Lytechinus pictus: one gene and its partner. The protein of the gene in region 2 purifies or fractionates together with the protein of the main gene of each other region. This does not show direct contact. Links are inferred from orthologs where the notes say so. Each region holds a gene or a part of one and is shown on either strand. Other genes may lie near its edges. The genes, in order: Bardet-Biedl syndrome 7 protein homolog and leucine zipper transcription factor-like protein 1.

Region 1 (10,555 bases), on a different chromosome or scaffold from region 2:
AATGCTCCCAAGTTCAAATAAAAGAGGGCTGAGGACTCACCTGGAGATAATCCACTCGGTTTAAACTTAGTTCCATCATCTTGAAGGATTAATCTCTATGGAAATCTCCTCATCAAAATTCTATGAATTCTTTCCATCCAATGTACTGGAAGGGGGGGGGGGGAATCAAAATCATAACAGAATTAGATTAAGAGGGCTACTCTGAGAAACCCATTAATCATGATAGTACAGGCAAGACAAAAAAATTAAAATAGAAAACATATTCCCCTGATCTCATGAATTCATATATAGACATATAGACATTGTTAAAGGTCCTATGACACAAATTCCATCTTATTCTAGATACATATCTATTATTAGGTAGTTTTACTTGAAAAATACGAATTTGCCATCGGTTCCTGTGTACGACGAATCGGTGTTGAGTTATTCCATGGAAATGAACTTCAACGGGAACGCCCACTAAAATTTTCGAAAGAGTCAACCGATCAACCTGTCAATCATTGTGACGTCATCGAAGGCTTTCCCAGCTGTGCAGCCGGACCACTAGTTATTGTACACGTTCCTCGTGTAGTTGCTGTTTCGACCGGGCTCATCCTGAACGGATTTTTTAGATTTTTATGAGGTTTTGATCATGGCTGCAGCATCGTCATCAGCTGCATCTGATTCTTCAGACTTTGAAGATTCAGGTTCTGAATATTATTCCAGCAATTCAATTTATTTACTTTGAATCCACACGTGCAACCACAATAGGCACTTCACGCTCCAAACGTCAACAACGCTCAGCAGCTTCCTTCCCTGACGTCATAATTGTCACGTGATATACGAAACCAAATTGGGCTGAAATTTTGTGGGCGGAGCGAATTTTGCTCAATTTTCAATATAAAACTGCCTTTGAACCTGATGTGGGATGTTTTTCGGGTAAAATTTTGATGGAATCGTAGTAACCACTAAGCTAACGAATAAATCAGCATCTTTGCTGTATTTCATGGGACCTTTAAGACAATTTTCTGGCAATTTTACTTTCCACCAATAAAGGGCCTACACAAAAAATATGCTCAAAATTAAAATTTTTGAGCACTCTGGTGAATGAAAAAATAAATCATAAATTGACCTTTATATTTATCGACCGATGCAAGTATTTTACGATTCATGATATTTATCGGCCGATGCAAGAATTTAAAAAAATCTAAGTTGGCAGCTCTACACGTGTGTGGTATCTAGGTATCAATTCAATTCAATTCAAGACTTTATTCCAGACACAGCTGCATATGCAGAGGTCCATATCAACAACATATATGTAAAATACATCAAGACAAACATACAAAGATAATACTGGAATAAACAAAGAACAAATAAAGTATAAACAGTCAAAAAGGAGAAAAACAAATCACACTAATAACTAGGAACAAACAATGAATACCTAAAACAAGTGATTAAGTATCGATAACAAAGGCGGCAAGATGGCGACGAAAACAGACTGGGTAAGTAAACGCTCGTGCTCTTAATTATTTTTCAAATTTACTACTATTTATTGAATAAATATATGGAACGTTGTCAATTTCGGGGGGTAAATATTGTTTTGGCCCATGTACGTTAGTTTGGGCTCAAAACGATAAGTAAAATGTCTGATTTAGGTCTAGTTTCATCGTGGGAAAACCTACAGTATATAGAGAGTAATGCACTAATGGTAACCAGAGCCAGGCTTCAATGGAGAGTAAGCCTACGTACAGCACTCATCCTACGAACGAGGTTATAATATAACCTCGTTCTCGGCTGTATACCTCTCTATTGTTAAAATTGCTCATTTCCCCCCCCATCCGTTGCCCAAAGCATCGCGAATCAGTTCATACTTGAACTGATCCGTTGATGTAAAATGTTATTTTGACGGATATGACTTTGAATTAATAAATATGATATTAAAAATGAGTAGAAACTCACCGATTTCTCAACCTGAACCTCATCCAAATGCCTCCATTACGTCTATGGTGTACGACAGTGACAAATCAAAAAAGAAAAAAGATCTCACGAAACCATAGAGGCTCATCAACCCGTTTGGACCACTGACCGTTGAGGTTTCGACGAAACTTTGCTCGTAATGCATTCTGGTAAGGAAGTCTTGATAGCCTCAATCAAGACAAATTTGCAATTTTGTTTCATATTGATACAAAGTCAAAAGTGATACTAGTAGTTGTGAAACTGAAATGAAATAAGACATTTTTGTATGAAATAAAAAAATAAAGGAGAAATTCAGTTGTTTCGATTTTGTTAATTTTCTGTTTAATATGGGACTCTTGATGAAGAAGCCCCTTATTCTTTTCTGATTAATGAACTTGTCGATAGAAATATTTTTACAAAGTTAGGCATTAATTTCCGAATTATTGATGTAACAGAAGTTCGGAATAACGAACTTTGCTGTGGGTCTAATCAGGGGAGAATCCAGGATTTTCCAAAGGGGGAGGGGGTGGTTTCTTTTACAGAAAAAAATAACAAGCTCCCCCCCCCCCCCCGTGAAGGAGATTTATGTAACGATTAATTTCACAATTATGATAACAGCTGCTTGCTATACAGTATGAAGTTTCAAGTTTGTTTTCATTGATTTAAAATCTAAACCTAAAGGGTTTTCATTAAAAAAAAAAATTAAAAAAAAATCTCTTACCACAAAGGCCTATTTAGGCCTAGGGGCAGATCAAAATTTTCAAGGGGGAGGGCGGGAAAGTTTCAAGTTAATTTAATTGATTTCAAATCCAAACATAAAGGATTACAATCAAATGAAATTAACAATTTATACAAATTATCAAACAAAATGGATGCAAAATAAATGTGTTCTATGGCTTTCGAGGGGGTGGGCACGAGCCTGATGTGCTCCCCATCCTGGATAAATAAAAGAAACTCATTAAAAAAAATTGGAACGTAATTATGTTCTGTTTTATCACTTTGTCTTGAGTTTCTTGCCCCTTCCATTTTTTTCACATTTCACCCTTTACCCATATTAATTTCAGGACGGTACAAAATGTGGGCTTACAAAAGTGATATGATGATGAAAATGAATATTCCATAACAATATGAAAAATAATAGAAAACCAAAATAATAATATTAATAATTAACCCTTACAATGATAATACTCAATAAAAGAGAGGGATCGGGGGATCGAGAGAAGAAGCAATAACCCCCCCCCCCAAAAAAAAGGCATCATATTTCCTTTCACCATACGACAAGATACAGTTCATTATAGAATAAACTAAGCTGATGGCGCTACAACAATTATTCTTATGTATAAAATAATTATAACAAAATATTGTGTGTCAGGGGAGAAAGAGACTACTATCGCTGGATCTCGGAGATCCGAAATAGAAGCATCACCGGAAACAGGTATCTGTGGTGAGAACATAGAGATATATACTAAGCATTTTTATACAGCTCTGTAGAGGACAGTGGTGTGGTCGCTTCCGTTAGCTTTCTTTAATTGAGCACAAGAGGGCGCGTTACATCCTCTATGTAGAAGTCTATGCGCTGCTGAGGATCATGACAAATTTCATCATCGCTGATGTGGTTTACGGTACACCATGTGAAGTGTTGTAGAAACAGTGGATAGGAGAAGAGAAGAAATGGATAGGCGAGAAAGTGGAGATTTGACAAACAACTACAAGGAGCAGCCATGGGTTCACCTCTCTCACCAATCATCGCTAACATCTTCATGGAACATTTCGAGCACCAAGCACTCAAGACTGCGGACAAACCTCCTTCACTCTGGCTCCGCTATGTCGACGACACCTTTGTCATCTGGCCGCACAGCACACCCGACCTTCACCAGTTTCTCAACCACCTCAACCACCAGCACCCCAGCATCAAGTTCACCATGGAGACCCAACGCGACGACTCAATCCCTTTTCTAGACGTTCGCATCACCAAGACACCATCTGGATTCCCATCTCACCAGGTGTACCGGAAACCCACCCACACAGACCGCTACCTCAATTTCCGCTCACACCACCACCCATCCGTCCACCAATCAGTCGCCCGCACTCTCATCAGACGAGCCCACCAACTAAGCGACAAGGCACACTTACAGCAGGAACTCAAGCACGTGACCAATGCACTCACCACCATCAACCATTACCCCAGGAGAAGGATTAACACTCAACCGTCCAGCCACCAACCCAACACCAACAGCACCGAAAACCCATCCGAAACCAAGCCTATCGCCACCATAACACTTCCCTACATCGGCAAGACTTCACACCGACTACAACGCATCCTTCACTCTGCCAACATCCTCGTCAGACACCAATCCTCCCGCAAGCTACACTCCATCCTGCACTCTCATAAGGACAAGCACCCATCCAACAAGCAACCAGGCGTCTACAAGATCCCCTGCGACTGTGGCAAAGTCTACATTGGAGAAACCGGCCGAGACTTCGACACCAGACTCAAGGAACACAAGACCCACCACCGACGCAGCGACTGGGACCGATCTGCCATCGTCAAACACGCACAACAAGAAAATCACAGCATAGACTGGGACAAGAGCCACCTAATCACCAACATCCGGCACTGGAATACCAGAAGGGTCAGGGAAGCCATTGAGATACATCAACACAACACCGTGCCTCAAGACCCTGGTCTCCACATCAACACAATCTGGCACCCAATCCTACGTCACCACCCAACTTCCAACCAATCCACAACCAACTCCACAAGCAACTCGCCGTCCACCGTCACCCTACCAAGCCCTCCTACCCAACACAGCAGTCTGAACGAATCACCAACTCAACCAGCAACTTCGCCGACGCACACGCCACCGACACCGACGCCTCGCTACAACCTCCGCCGACGACCCAACACCTCATCCGTACACCAGGCCACCCACTCAATCCCGCCGAAGCCTACCCGACGAGTCCGCCGACCAACACGCACGGAACGCCACCACTGATGTACCTACCACGCCGCCGACACACACCGCCGCCGTAACTCACCCCGCCGTCTACTCACCGCGTCCGCATACCACGCCAACTCGTTTCCCGCCAAAAACCGCCGACCCACGCACAGAGCGCCACCTACGACGTCCGCCCGCCGTGACCGCCGGCCCAGCGCTTTCCCCCACGTCCGCACGAACGCCATAAGTACCGCCGCACGCCAAGCGAACACTCACTCCTGAAGACGGACAGTCAACCTGCCCGAAACGTCGAGTCTCTCTACTACTCATCATCTCTACTCGCCGACTCAAGCCAGCATCTCCTCACTAGCTCTACTACTCAAGCTGTTCTCAACTCATCAATCTTTCCTGGTTTACAGTCCTTTTCAGGACTACTTTCAAGAAAGAATAATCTACTCTCAAATCTCCACTTTCTCGCCTATCCATTTCTTCTCTTCTCCTATCCACTGTTTCTACAAGTTACACTTCACATGGTGTACCGTAAACCACATCAGCGATTGTACATACCACCATGCAAACCTTCAAACAACAACCAAATTTCATCATACATTCCGACGATTTCTCGAAGAGTCCTCGAATAAATGACAATATATTGTTGAGTCCAAGATAAATTCCAGCAACAACGGAAGGAAGATCAATGTTTGGTTCGGGAGAAAGACTGGTAAGTCAAACTCTCTTACTTTTACATTTTACAAATTTTGTCTATGAGTACGCCTCACATACCTCTAGTCCCATCCCCTACCTTTTGCTGTATGGAAAATGGTCGGGGATGACGAGTGACGTACAGTAGATACTTTTACTCTCCAGAAGCCTCCAGGCTAGGACCACCATACTATAGACCAAAAGCTTCGGTCTCTTGCTGGGCGTTGTGGCGTGCGCCTGTAATCCAAGCTATGCGGGGAAGTTACAAATTGATGCAGAGGTTCGAGGTTCGAGCCCTGGTCACGTCTTTCGGATGGTGACGTTAAAGGTCAGTCCCAGACGTAAATAATCATATCTGATTGATACACGTCTGACAAAAACTCATAACACACTTTTATGTTGGTTGTTCCGCTGAACTCTGTTGGCTCCACTCACCAAATACAGAGTCAGAGACCGAAGTTCTAGCTCGATCTGTACAGGGACTCAATGGCCATGTTTATGTATTAAGTTCGGATAAAACAGGGAAGTGAAGTTGCGCGGCAGCCGAAGTAAGTCACTGTTAATTCCCCGTTTTGGTGAATTTCAGGCTAAAAGTAAAACGGAATAACAATCTTTATTTTGGAATTTGGTAAAGTTCTTTTTGTATATTTTTTATTTTTTAATTTATGAAATAAAGACAAAAATCGATGAGCCCCGTCAGATTTTGCATTGTTAATCGGCCTAACGGTGGCTGCACGATAGCGAGCTGTGTATGAGGAGAAATAAAAAATGTAAAAAATAAAAAAAACTCCTCGAAACAGACGGCTGCCAGCGCCAGCTGTCTAGGTCTAGGACTAGGACCACCATAACCGAGTCGACATTCGTCTGACTTACATTACATTCAATATGTGGGACTAAACTGAGCTCAAACTCAAACTCAAAGTCAATCTATGGAAAGTAGAAATTATATAGCTGCACAACCTGCCACTATTACAACCAGAAACCTTAAAAGTTTATACATACAATGTTAGATGTAAAAACAGACAACACTATAAAATATAACTGTTACAAATTACATGATAAGATCCAATTACCTTGAATAATATTTGCTGCATTCGTTGCTACGAACGCTCCACAAATTCTGCAAAGGAAAATTTTCATATGGAATTCGACGTTTGCTGCCCTCTAGCTCTAGCTCTAGCTCTGTAGTTGATCGACTAAACATGGATATGGAGATGATCATTATATTTGTTATTGACTTAATTTAGCTCTTTCAGTTGTCTAAACCATTGCAAATTGATAGAAAATGATATTTGTGAGAAATGAAATCACAGTGATTCAGGTTATTCTCAGTATATGCGAAATATCAGTGATCATAACAACGCAGTTACTTCCTTCGAAATAAAGATAAAAGTATAATTGCAGTAAAGAAGTTTCGTCGATCTCCTCTAACGTTATGATAAAACGATAAAACGATAAAACAGATGTTGGACATTCACAAGTCATTACGCCCCTTGGGAATTGTTTCTCGAAGAAACCGATATAGATGAGACATGGGAAATGTTTCATGACTTGTTTGATGCCTAATCACGTACGTGATTGCATTCCAAAATATGTGGGTCGTTCCAAAAACGCCGGCCTCCGAGATCAGGGATGAGTAAAAAAAAAAAGCAAAGAAATCAGGCTTGGACATACATTGGGAATTGATTAAACAATTACGGCATCAGATAAAAATTATCACACGAGTAGATCATACCATTCATAGGTTTTCCCCATTCATATACAAATCCCTTATTTCCTGATAATTGGAGAAATTATCTTTAATCGTCAGGGCCGCCCACTGCAGAACACAAATAAATAAAATATTGCAAATGCGAGCTCGATTTGTTGGATATTTCCTTTATTCACACCAAAAATTTATTGAACATTATATCCATTTTTTTAAAGACCATGATCAAGATATGCATCTCTCCAACCAAACAATGCGAGCGCGAATGAAGCACGAGCTAAATTTTTGACATTCCGAGTTGAAAGATTGGCATTCTAAGCAGGATGTGTATCCAGCTATGGAGGGTTACCTACTCAGTGCGAGGTGGAAATTTTTGACATTCTGACCTAAAAACTGATCAGTTTCAGCACATGTTTGAATAAAGAACGAGCTTTGTTTAAACAAAAAGGGTGAAACCAACTAACAAGCTGTAAAACTTGTTAAGTGGTAGTATATAAATGAATATGATGGCGCTTTATCTCTCCAGATCATACGCGCCAGAACTGCTTGTTGTATTAGGTGAGCGGCCAGAAGCCAAAAAGTGGCTTATTTATTGACTTTAATCCCCCCGGCTGGATCAAAGCAAAATCATACATCAAATTAAAGGAAAATTTCTGAATTTTTCGGATTTGGGCATTAAAAGTGACGTAATGTGTAGCATCACCATGGAAACCGGCCTTGATTAAGCCACGCCCATTTTAAATACATATTGAAAATTTATCGTGAATATTGATTTTTTACTATTTAATTTAAATCATCAGGTATTTTTTCTTATTTTTAAAGGATAGTTCCACTTTATATTGTAAGAAGGATTACTGAATAACAACTTAGCATGAATTTTATGAACATTTTCTCAGAAATTGTTGCCTAGCAACATAACTTTCCTTAGCAACCAGTTGGCTCCTTAAGTAAACCACTTATTTTTCCATTTCAAACCTAACTTTTAACTTTTTAACTAGGTTAGATTAAACCTAATAAGTTACACCAATGAAATTCTATAAAGTATTATTGAAAAATAATAAAAAGAACTAAAAAACCCATTTTAACTATTGCAAACCTCAAATAAATGTGCTAAGCTCTACTTAACACACCCCCTTCTATCGTACAAATCGCCATATTATTGTTCATTTTGACTACATTGATATATACGTACGTACAAGTCACATACTTTATACTATTTTGTGGTGAAAAAAGTGGATTGAGTTAATAATACCTGATCAATTAACATGCAGTATCTTGTCTTCAATAGAACAACAACAAAATTACCATTTCACATTACCCATGGATACCAATTCATTGCCTAGCAACGACTATTTTCCATAGCAACGACTATGATAACGACTCTCCTCCCTGGACAAATCTGTGTAAAAATAGTTCATTATGAGCAATAATACTGACACAATTATCATTTAGATGCAGCCTACAACCTCGTTTTCAATAATCATTCAACAAACTGACTATTTTTTAGCTTCCATGGAGACAAATGTGTTGCCTAGTAACAATATTCCCTAGCAACGGCTATGTTACCACTCTTCATCTCGGTCAAATGTGCTGAGGAAGTTGTGCCGTAGAGTAAAAATATTGAGAAAATTAACATATGATAGGTTGTTAAACAGTATTCAGGAATTTACCATCATCTACTGACACAATTCCATTGCCTAGCAACACTATTTACCTTAGCAACGATGTATTTTACCCTTAAACAATCTTGAGGAAAATAATCCACTTTTAAGTGTACAGTACCATTTGTAAAGGGATGGTCCAGGCTGTACATGTAAATATTTCTATCTAAATAAATAGAGTAAAATTCACAAAGCTAAATGCTGAAAATGTCATCAAAATCGGATAACAAATAACAAAGTTATTGAATTTTAAAGATTATCAATATATTGTGAAAACAGTTATATGCACATCGTCATGAATATTCATTAGGTGGGCTGATGATGTCACATCCCCCACTTTCCTTTTTCTTAGTTTATTACATGAAATCATAAATGTTATTTTATACGTGCGTACATGATGTGTCTTCAATATGATGAAATAAGTTGCGGCAATAAATAACTAATGTGCTTAATCAGTTGTCAATCCAATTGTTCCTTGGTAGAAATATTTTAAATAAATCTAATTTCATATAATAAAATACAGAAGAACAAGTGGGGATATGACATCATCAACCCACCTAATAAATATTCATAAAGACATGCCTAGAACTGTTTTACCGGAATAATGCAAATCTTTAAAATTCAATAACTTTGTTATTTGTTATCCGATTTCGATCAAATTTTCAGCATTTTGCTTTGTGAATTTTACTCTATTTATTTAGATAGAAATATCTCCAGCCTGGACCATCCCTTTAAATAATATGCCTACATGCATACTGGCAATGGCAAATTAAAGGACACCACTTAATTTATCTCATTTCTAAAAAAAAAAAAAAAATTATCCTTGTTTGTATATTGCTTGTCTACAAATTCTTAACAGTACGATGAGCATGGTATTTAAACTTAATCATATAAAAAGAGCAGCTACAAAGAGAAATGTAAATGTTGAAGATATAAAGAGATTAATATGGTTTTGAGGATTAATAGCTGGGTACAGTGGCGTAACAACGGAGGGGCATGGGGGGCACGTGCCCCCCCCCCCAATCGGCTGACCCCCCCAAAAAAGAGGAAAAGGAGAAAAAGAGGGAGAAAGGAAGAGAAACGTAGTGGGAAAGAAGACATTATTGTTCATTATAATGTTATATTATTTCATAATTATGTTATGTTATAGTACATAAGAAACATTTTTTTCATAACTTTATGAAACACAATTTGCTCGGGGCCTATGTCTTCATTGTTCCTGGTGCTCACATTGTCTGTTTACCGAGATATATAATCCTGTTATACTAGAACCTCCCGTTTTCTAGTCAATATGCACCAAACTGCCAAATATATTTCCTCGCACTTCGAGTTATTATTGTTTTATGTACAATAGTATGCTTCTTTTTCATGACTACTTAAAGTGATTGCCCCATTTTATGGTCTTAATATAAAACATTTCCTCTCCGTGCTTACGTTCGCATTAGTGGATTGGTGAAATATGTCTGCTCTCCATGAATTCCTAGAATCAGTCCTTAAAATGTCCCTTTTTCTAATCAGAATATATTCGCGCTCGCATCATTTGGTTAGTGAACTACGTATGGTCTTCGTGTATTCCTTCAAACAAGCCTTAAAATGCTCCTCTTCAGGTC
Region 2 (10,555 bases):
GTCATAGATAAAGAAGAAAATTTATCAATTTCCTTGGCAAAAAAAAATAGTTATGAAAGAAACCAAGTTTATCAACATACACACAAATGCATATGTGGGACTGTCAAACAATGTATTTCAGTGTGTGCGATACAGACGATCATTCGAAACCCGATCTTTTTGAAGCATAACAGAAGTGAAAAAATTCTCCTTTTACTGCTTACAAATGACAGAGCTAACCCAATTTTTAGGAAATATGGACATTACAAGAATTTTCATTGGTAAGAAATGTGAATTTTGACAGTTCTGTGGGAGATTTCTTCCAGAGCAAACTTCGTTCGTGCAGCACCGTACTCCGTAGAAACTTAACAACATGCATCGGCTGCATGGACTAGGCGCTAGGTATGCTAGACTGCCATTGATTCTGTGTGTGTGTGTACGTCTCTGAGCTGTGTGTTTATTGCAGAAAATGGCGCAAATTTTGCAATTCGAATTATAAACTTTTTTGAAAGAAGAAATTAATGATATTGTTTTTCTTTGAACTCTTTTTCGTTTCTTTATTTTGATGGTGAAATATGGGGAATCTTTCTAAAATATAATTTCCATATGAGAATTTTGCTTGCCCGATTCGGGCAAGCAGTTTTTGTCTTTGCTTCAAAACACTTGCCCGACTCTAACTTTTACTTGCCCCGGGCAATCGGGCAAGTGCTTATGTCGCACCCTGCTGTAGTGTACATAGTTTTGCATATGGAAAAGGGGAAGAGAAGAGAGAAAGGGAAAGAATGAGAAGAAAAAGAGGGGGGGGGCAAGAAAGGAAAATGGAAAGGGTAAAAGAGAAAAGTAGATGAAGGGAAAGAAAGAATATAGATATAAGAAAGTCAAACGCGAGGAAAGAGTGAAAAGAAAGGAAAGGAAAACATAATGTGAGAAAATTAAAATCATCCCGAAATACTAATAAATAAGTGAGAAAGAATTAAGAGACTACAAATGTTTGTGAAAACGGGGGTCCTTGGAACGGGTCGCCTGCGTGAGTGCGTATGCATCCCTATGGCTATGGAAAGTGCATGCAGCTAGCCCGGCGGCACGAGCGCCGGGTGCGCTAGCACAGAGGCGATGGTCGGACAGCGCTCTGCGGCCGCTTTTCATCAAAATTGCGGCTCACTGTAGCAGATCAATGCAGCCGGAACGGCCTAACAGAAAATATGCGAAGCTTTTGGAGCAGATTTCTTTCTTCTTTTTTCTCGATAAGAAGAAAATGCTATGCTTTGGAGCGGCTTTCTTTGTTCTTTTTCTCAATAAGACAAAAATGCTATGCCATGGAACGGAAATTTGAGTGTAAAAATGGGGGTCCCCACCGCGGCACATACCCACTATGCATTATATACTGAGTGCCCCCCCCCCCCCTCCGGAGGGTCCGTATTTTGTCAACATGGAGAAAAATCATTGCTTAAGTACGTTCCACAGTTAAAATGAAGTCCATGTCATTTTCACCAAATTTTGCAGAGAATTACTTTGGTATCTATGCATTATGAAAGTGCAAAAAATTATAGAGGTTCATGTGCTTATTTTTTTTTCTATGGGTCTTCAAAGTCGCCGTATTTGAATGATATGCAATCTTGCGCAATCAAGAGAATTATGCCTCTCTTAGACCTCACAAATTCACCAAATGAGTTTAAATCATCTTTACTCAGTGGATACCGCATCAAACTTCATCAAATTTTCAAGATATATAACAAAGTGTATACCAAAGTAAGAAAAAGTCTTTAATTGGTAAAACTATATCTATTTTGAGTCAGCAGCGCCCTCATTTGGCAAGAATGGTGCAAAAACTCAGGTAAAAAACCAAATCTTCAAAGACGTGAATCTACTCAAAAATTAAAATAGTATTTTGTAAGCTGCACTTTTTTCAAAATCCATGTCATTTTCATCAAATTCGGCTAAATTGTAGAGGAATGCATATCCAAGGTGTAGGGAAGTTAAAAATTGGGGGTTCATGTGCTTGTTTTTTAACTATAAGTGTCCAAAGTGATGCGAGTTGGCATGAAAATCACAGAAAATGCGCCCAAAACATGCAAATGTCTCTTAATACCCTCTAAAATGCAAATGGTTCCATATTTTGCTCCCTAACATTAAAAATCCATGTCATTTTTATCATACTCTCTAGATTTGTAGAGGAATATATTATAAAGGCATTAAAATATTAAAAATATGGGGTCCATGTGCTCGTTTTTAATCTATCAGTGTCCAAAATGTTGCGAGTTGGCTTGAAAATATTGAAATCCACCTTAAATGCGCCGAAAACGTGCAGAAGTCTAATACCGTCTAAAATGCGAATGGTTTCGTAGTTTTGCTCACTAGCATTAAAAATCCATGTCATTTTCATCATAATCTCTAGATTTGCAGAGGAATATATTCTGATGACGTTAAAATATCAAAAACATGGGGTCCATGTGCTCGTTTTTAAACTATCAGTGTCTAAAGTGTTGCGAGTCGGCTTGAAACAGTCTATAATGCGCCTAAAACGGGCAACAGTCTAATACCGTCTAAAATGTCTACAATACAAATGGTTCCTTAGTCCTGCTCCCAAACATTCAAAATCCATGTCATTTTCATCATACTCTCTAGATTTGTAGAGGAATATATTCTGAAGAAGTTAAGACATTTAGACTATGGGGTCAATGTGCTCCTTTTCAAATTATCAGTGTCTGAAGTATTTCGAGTTGCATTGAAACAGCCCAAAATGCACCGAAAACAAGCAAAAGTCTGTTAATACCGTCTAAAATGCAAATGGTTCCGTAGTCTTGCTCCCAAACATTGAAAATCCATGTCATTTTCATCATACTTTGCACATAGATACCTTAGCACCTAAATATTTAAAAATTAACATGGGTCCATGTGCTTGATTTTCTGCTATAGAGCTTCAAATTTAACCCAACATGGATGATGTTCTTAAGAATTGCGCATTCAAAAGAATTTGGCATTTTTGGACCTCACGAGGTCACAACAATGAATTTAAAGCTCTATTACTCAGTCAAAATTCATGAAAATTTCATCGAATTTTGCAATGTGATTAATAATTGTATCCGTAAGATGGATAATCTATTTATATTGTTGTCAATTGTTTGCTCATTTAAGTCTAACAACACTCTCAGTTCTTAGAAATTGCGGGATTGATACTCAACCTCAAAAATTTCAAATTTCAATAACAAACTTGAGAAGTAAAAGAAATGCTGCATGCACTTTATTCAAAACCCATGTCATTTACACCAAACTTTGCAAAGTTGTAAAAAAATGTAAAGGAAGGTATACCTATAGAGGTGCAAACATTAAAATATATGGGTTCATGTGCTGGTTTTCAAACTATCAGCACTCTTATTAGAGCAAATTTGCTTCTTAAAACACCCGAAAAGGCGCCTAAAGCTTTGTATCTATGTGAGGAAAAATTCCGAACTTCTTTTCCATTATTCAAACTCGGGGTCATATTCATCACACTTTGCAGCACTACAAAGAAAATATTTTTAAATTGTAGAATAGAAAAAATGGTACATGGAGGAATTGCAGTTTATTACTTATATTAGCTTCATAAAATAACACATCGGATCTGCAGTAGTGCTAAGGAGAAAAATCAGCTCACAATTCCTACAGCTGATAATCACCAGTTCATCCATTGTGACGTCAGCGCGCAGAGTGTAAAATATGCGCAGATCATGATGCGCACAAACATAATAACTGTGGAACCGGAACGTCCTTAAATGATGCTATTTGACTTTGAGGGACATTCATTATGACTTCACATCGTTCGGTAAGTTTCTTAGAAGTAGGCCTAGGCCTACCGGTATACCCAGTTGTTGTGTGTCCGGACAGGTTGTGTGTCCGGACGATCAATTTTAGAAAGTCATTTGGAAAAAATTACAAGCGAAGTTTCATCAAATTTTAGTACAAAATTTTAGAAAATATTATAGAGAACAAAATAGAAGATGATTACAACTATTGAATTAATATTTTTAGTGTAATCTTAAGACAAAAAAGAAGGCTTCAAAAATATAAATAGGGTGTCTGAAGCCACACTGAAAAGTGTCAGCATAAAACAGGCTAATTTAGGGGAAAATATGGCACATTTTTTCAGGGAAGTTCAGGCTACTAGAAAAATGTGATCTGAATTGATTATTAACTTGTGTTTGGCATGTATGGAAAGAGAAAATTCAGGGGCATCTTTTGACAGTAAGGACAAGTTTATATGATCATTTTAAATAAGGATTTAGAGATAAATTGCAAACCCTTATTTTTGTGTGTGTTGAGATTGCCATTTCTCCATGCGTTTTCTATGGGAAAATGAAATTTCTGTTTTGCACAATTTTTTTCACTTTGTCGCAATTTTTCATTGTGATCTGGTTTCCAAATCTTTATGAAAATCATACCATCAGATAGAGCATAAAAAATCCTATTGGACTCTTTATGGACAAGTTTTTGGCATTAATAATAAATTTATAACAGCTCTCGGAAGCTAAATATTTGGATTTGTGTGTGTCCATTTCTTAACTACACAGTCTATGGCAGAGAAATGCTGAAAATTTACCTAATTTCATTCTTCTTTTTTGCAGCCAATAATTGGATTTTTTTCAAAATTTTTACATTTCTGTCAGTCTGAAGGTAATTTCTCTTCAAATTCACAAAGAAAATGTGATATTTTCTTGAAATAAGAAAAATAATTTTTTTCTCCAGACACCCTAATATAAAGTGTCCGGACACCCGATCCCCCATCCTACTTAGTTTTCCAATTTTTGTGTGAAATTAGCAGGAGTTTGTTACAATTTTGCATGCGCCGTGCCTTCAATTTTCCAGTACATGGCGGCAGTATTAAATGCACCCATGGGTGGTTATGAATATGAGTATGACGCTGCCGCAGCAAAGCCTTAATTCGCAAGCGAAGGCGGCTCGCACTAGCGGCCGAAGCTCAGGGCAGGGTGCTGGCAGGGGGGCGGTGCAATCCCATCGCGGCAACTGAAAACTGGGCAAAAAGAAGTTGCAGCCAAGTACCCGTACGGTACGGTACCGTATATTATGAGTCATATTTACCATTATTCAGTTCAGCAACGGTACTGTAGTTTTATCAGCAATCTGAAGAGACAAAGAGAAGAGTTAAAACGAGCTGAAAGTATTTGTAGGCATACGCAGAAAAATAATTCAGACTTCAGTTTACTCCAAACCAGGGTAACGATCTTTGGTAACGATAGTACGCGCGATGTCGAGTGCGTGCGGCCGGTGTGGTCGCCGAATAGTCCGGAGCTGTGCGCTCCAAAATGGCTAGCTGATCAATTGTTCCCACCAGTACAGTGCTTATTTCCACTCTTCCCGAAATCCAGGAAATTCAGGGAAGCTTTCCGGGAAGTTGTCTTTTCCAGGAATCATATCATTTTTCTGAATATTATGTCAAAATCTATCTAAAATTGGATCTTTGTAATGACAAATTTTTTGCTCGCTCGCAATTTTTTTGCCTGATACGTACGGTACGCCATGCATATTTCGGCTCAGTTTTGCCCCCTCAAAATTTGTTGGCTCATAAGAATACGGTACGGCACTGGGCCCTATGCGTCATCTTTTTTGTGTATAGAAGAGAAGTTTAACATTTTATGGGAGACTGGACAACATCTGTAAAATTCAGGGATATTTTGTGAAATTCCAGGAACTTTCAGAATAAATTCAAGGACTCGATTTTGTATTGAAAAGTGGAAGCTCTGCGCTAGTACCAAACGGCTAGTCGATCGGGCCTGCCAAATTCCTGGCCAAATCCTAAAGACTGATTCAAATTTTGGCCGATACGAAAGGAGAGCCGCCGTTTGATTCCACATTTGTCAAAATTTTCGAAGGTAGTAAGTATAATTATTTATAAGTATAATTATTGACGTGATGTTCCTTTTCTGTCCTCTTTTCTTTGTACGTTGTTCTCGGTTGTAAGTTAGAACTTTTGGTGCATGCGGATCGGGGTAATGGCGGCATCATGATTTCTAATTTAGGGGCCGGGGGGGGGCAAAAGAACATTTGGGGGGCAATACTTTTTCGCCTATTTCACAAAGCTATTTTTTAAATAGGCCCCACTGACTTGAAAAGGGAACTATTATAGTATAGGACTTTTGCATTGGGTCATGAAAATGATATCTCACCAAATATATAATGCGAGCATTAAAGAAGCACCTAAAACTGGAAGCTACCCGAGAGCAATATAACCAGTAAAAACCAAACATTTTGTACAGTTAGTTTCTAGTATTGTAGATAATGTAGGGTATGTTGAAATATAATCTTGTTTCATATATTAGGAGGATTGTTGTTTGCTTCAGATGTTTGCATATTATTTGACTGATGGATATGTATGTATGTATTTCATTATTATTGTTTTAAAACCATATTCCAGTACTTGTCGTAGTTTATACTTTTTGTTACAATATGTTAATGTTTTATACTAACTATAGGACCCCATTGGAAATAAGCCTTTCGGCTTTCATGGGCTATCCTGTCAAGGTATTCTTCAATTTTATTGTAATCTCCTGTGATATTCTTGACGAATAAAATCAATCAATCAATCAATCAATCAATCAGCGCGAAGCGCGAGCTGAAAATTTTGGATATCCTGTGATGATAACTGGACGTTCTAAGCCGCACTTTTCGTAATCATGAACTGGATGGTTATCTAACTAAACAATTGATGCTAGCGCGAGCAGAAAATTATAAAAATTACTAATACGCAGGATGTGTATCTCGCTAAAACCAATAATGAAAACTCTAATCGCGAAAAGCATAGGCCCTATTGACTTGGGGTGGCGGACACTGGATTTTTAAGCCTCATGTGAACAGATAATTTACTTATCTCAGGCAACAATTACTGCGAGCGCGTAGCGGTAGCGAAATGTTAAAGTTTTAGTGACGAAATATTGTTGGGAGCTATACAGTGAATGGATAAGCACATTTTCAAAATTAAAAGAACGAAAATGCGGTTTTGGATCACTTTACAGCTTTAGTAGGATGCTTATGACATTATTTTAGTTTTATAGTTTTTAGTTTTTAAAATTTATGGGGAGGGGCAAGTGGGAGGCCAACTCACGGGGGGGCAAATGCCCCCTGTGCCCCCCCCCCCCATTGGTGCCGCCACTGTTTCGGGGCGGAGCTCCCGGAACTTCGTAATATTTTTAAAACATTGCAGATGGCCATTTTTTATCCAATCGCGGGTATACCGTATGCACAACAACACATAACTTTAACGCAGTTGCGGATAAAAAAAACGAAATAATTTGAGGCAACACAACATAATAGCAATGTGGTAACATTTGTAAAAAGTCGCGAGCGACCGAAGAGAGCCAGAAAAAATTGGCCTTTTGAAATTATTTTGTAATGAAATACTCATTATGTGATAGCAGTTTTGGAAATTTAGCCAAAGTATACATTAAGAGGCTTTTCGCGATAAATCTAGCCAGCGTAAAGCTTTACTTATAGGTTAGGACACAATATAGGGGGATATAACTAACACTTGGCTAGGGATTTTTTTCTGATTGCGACCATTATTGCAAAAATACCAAGTTTATGATATAGACTATACATACACAATTACGCCATCCATCTTTCTTCCCGTTCTTTAAATTTTTCAATCCTCGGCAGCCTGGTCGTGTTATTCAATAAAAAATTCTTCTATTGTTTTCTTGTCGCTTATTATTCTGATTTTCCAAATTATCTTTTGACTCTACCTTCATTTCCTTTTCCTTTTTGCCTCCTTCTCTTATCGCCATTCTTGCCCGTGTCGTTGATTCCCCACGGAAATATTTCCGTGGATTCCCCCCATGCTTATCATGCTAATTAGTATTTCAGGATATTGTTCTTCTTTCCTTCTTTTTTCCCGCTTTCCTTCCACTTTCCCTATTTATGCTTTGAAATCTGCCTATCATAATGAAATAATTAATGAAAGGTCGTTTGACCAAAATTGCCCATGAGGTAACTCCGAACTGGTCTATTCATAAATTCAGTAAGATTCTCAAATCGGCAATGTGCCGTTCTATTGGTGATGTTGATTTGAAGGAGCCAATATTATTGGTTGAAAATGATGACTAGAATATCACATTTTCCTATAGGGGTGTTAACGGCGGATCGAAACTGATCGCTTGTTCGGAACAAATCGGCTATCGCACCATCCAACAATTTCCGGAACAAATCGGCGGATAAAAGAGCCGCCGATTAGTTCTGCCTGTACCAATCGACTGCCCGGGTCAATTCGGCTATAACACCAGCGTGAGCTCGTCGTGGGCGCGCGATGTAAAAACTGTATAGCAAGGATAGAAATATTTTACTGTGATATTACTTCAGTGTAGTCCACTATCTCTATGAGTATGATAGCAATTAGCTATATAGCTGAGTACGGTGCTAATGCCCCCAAATTTTATTTTATTCGCTTTTTAATAATGATAATAATAATAATAAGAAAAAAAACCAAGAGAAGAACTTATAAGACTAGAAGAAGAAGAAGAAGAAGAATTAAGGAAGAAAAAGAAGAAGAAGAAGGACTTATAAGACTATAGGGGAACTTCAGATTAAAGGAAGAAGAAGGAGGAGGAGGAGGAGGAGGGAAATAATGAGGAAGAGAAATTAAGAAACGCCTGAGAGAATGATTTAGGCCTGTATCAAACATTTTAGCGTTTTGCATTCGCATTGTTTAGTTATAGATGCTAGCTCTTCCTATACATGATTACAAAAGGTGCTGATATATAGTGTCCCGTTTTTAGGTCTAAATCGTTCCCCCCAAATCAAAAATCCCCTCACGCTTCGCACTCTCATTTAGTAACATCAATATCTTCTTTATAATTTCTCTAGACTCTATACAGCGCTCACCATGTATAAAACAATGTCAACTATTTCATACCTCACACTCGCAATGATTTGAGAAAAACTTGTTCTTTATTTATAGACGTGCTTAAAATACAGTTTTCAGATTTGAATATCAAAAATTTCACCTCGCGCTTCGCGCTCTCATCAGTTGTTAGTTAGATAGGCCTACCCATCCTGATCATGGCTACAAAAAGTGCATAAATAGAATGACAACTTTTCAGGTCAGAATGTAAAACTGCAAACAGTCCTTGACAGGTCCCTTTCGTTAGGTCATTATAAAAAATTTGGCTCGCGCTTCGCACTTCCAATATTTGTTATTTATGCTTTTTGGGATACCTTATATTGTTCGTTAAAAAAAGTTAAGATGTACTTAAAATTTCAGCCTTTAGTTAGTTTTCAGCTGCCGATCGGAAAAAGTGTGGATAAAATGTTTTTCCGCCTCGATCCCTTAAACAGTGCGTATAAAAGAAACGGGACAGTTTTGAAAAGACTATAATTTTTTTTTTCAAATTATGACATCTATATTTTGATGTTAATAGATGCTCTTAAATCTTATCTTTGAAATGTCATTTAAAAATATAAATTTTGTTCATGCTTGAGCGAACACGGTACGTTTTTTATCCGGAGTTCTAAAGGAGGCTTGCGCCAAAATAGCAGAAATGAAATATTTGATGATCAGACTTTTTGCTAATCAGCAGACTTCCTTTTTTTATCTTTGCCACGGTTTTCGAATTATGCTGTCAAATTTATTTATTTGCTTGAATTGTTTTGTTTTTTCATTTAAACTTCTTTTGCCTTTGAATTTTCCTTCATAAGTAAGAAAAGAAGACTTTTGTCAACTGAAGCAAGAAGCTTTGCATTATTAATTGGAAAACTTGTAATTATTCAAATCTTTTTTTTATGTGAAACGAATTGTGTTATGGTACCTTTAAAACATGAATCCTATATTTTCAAGGGGTTATTGAGCCCTTCACCAAGTTTAATTATGTGCTTGACAGGACAAACGGAAAAAGATTCATGGGCTTTCAATGGCAATGGTGTATTGAGTCGATTTGGAAGGAGCTAGATATGGCAGATCGGATAAAATGTTTTAAAAAGTTGTGAGAGATCGAAGCGAGCAAGCAGAAATTTCCACTTTTTTATTAAAATATCAAATTTTGTGATAGATTTTGACATAATATTCAGAAAATAAATCATATTTCACTTCCTATCTTTCCTTTTATTTTCTTTCCACATTTTTATTTTTTTTGAAGGGGGGGGGGGCACCCCGAGCCCCACCCATCTGCATGCCACTGTTCAAAGGCACCATAACCTTTGTAGCACACAATGAAAGGATTTGAAAAAAATACACGCTCTCCCATCATGCCCATACTTCGGTTGAAAAATGTTTGTTTTTGCTCAAAGAAGGAATATTCAAAACTAAAAGAGAACATATTAAAGAGTAACAGCAAGAGAACAACTTAAGCAAATAAACAGATTTGAAAATGAATTTTGACCGCATAATTCGAAAATTATGGCAAAGATAATGAAAAGGTTCAGAGGAAGTCTGCTGATTAGCAAGAAGTGCGATCATCATATTTATCATTAATTTTTATGCCATTTTGGCGCAAGCCTCCTTTTTAGCCCCAGACAAAAACATTCCGTGTTTGCACAAGCATGAACGAAACTAATATTTTTAACAGCATTTGAAAGATGAGACTTCAGAGCACCT

The links.
Region 1: the proteins of leucine zipper transcription factor-like protein 1 (region 2) and Bardet-Biedl syndrome 7 protein homolog purify together in Homo sapiens (affinity purification with mass spectrometry; 3 studies listed by BioGRID and IntAct, counting the BioPlex papers as one, with this or other methods). This does not show direct contact. The link is inferred for Lytechinus pictus from reciprocal best matches to the Homo sapiens genes LZTFL1 and BBS7.

The regions. Positions count from the first base shown.
Region 1 is NW_026974140.1:10,646,830-10,657,384, reverse strand, and holds the start of Bardet-Biedl syndrome 7 protein homolog, read right to left. Parts: upstream 6,737-10,555; 5' UTR 6,650-6,736; intron 4,932-6,649; coding exon of another isoform or gene 3,657-4,931; intron 146-3,656; 5' UTR 80-145; coding exon 41-79; intron 1-40. Other genes in the region: uncharacterized protein LOC129265491, read left to right, coding at 3,657-4,931.
Region 2 is NC_087247.1:43,265,555-43,276,109, forward strand, and holds the start of leucine zipper transcription factor-like protein 1, read right to left. Parts: upstream 5,516-10,555; 5' UTR 5,059-5,515; coding exon 5,056-5,058; intron 1-5,055. UniProt on the Homo sapiens protein: Regulates ciliary localization of the BBSome complex. Together with the BBSome complex, controls SMO ciliary trafficking and contributes to the sonic hedgehog (SHH) pathway regulation. May play a role in neurite outgrowth. May have tumor suppressor function.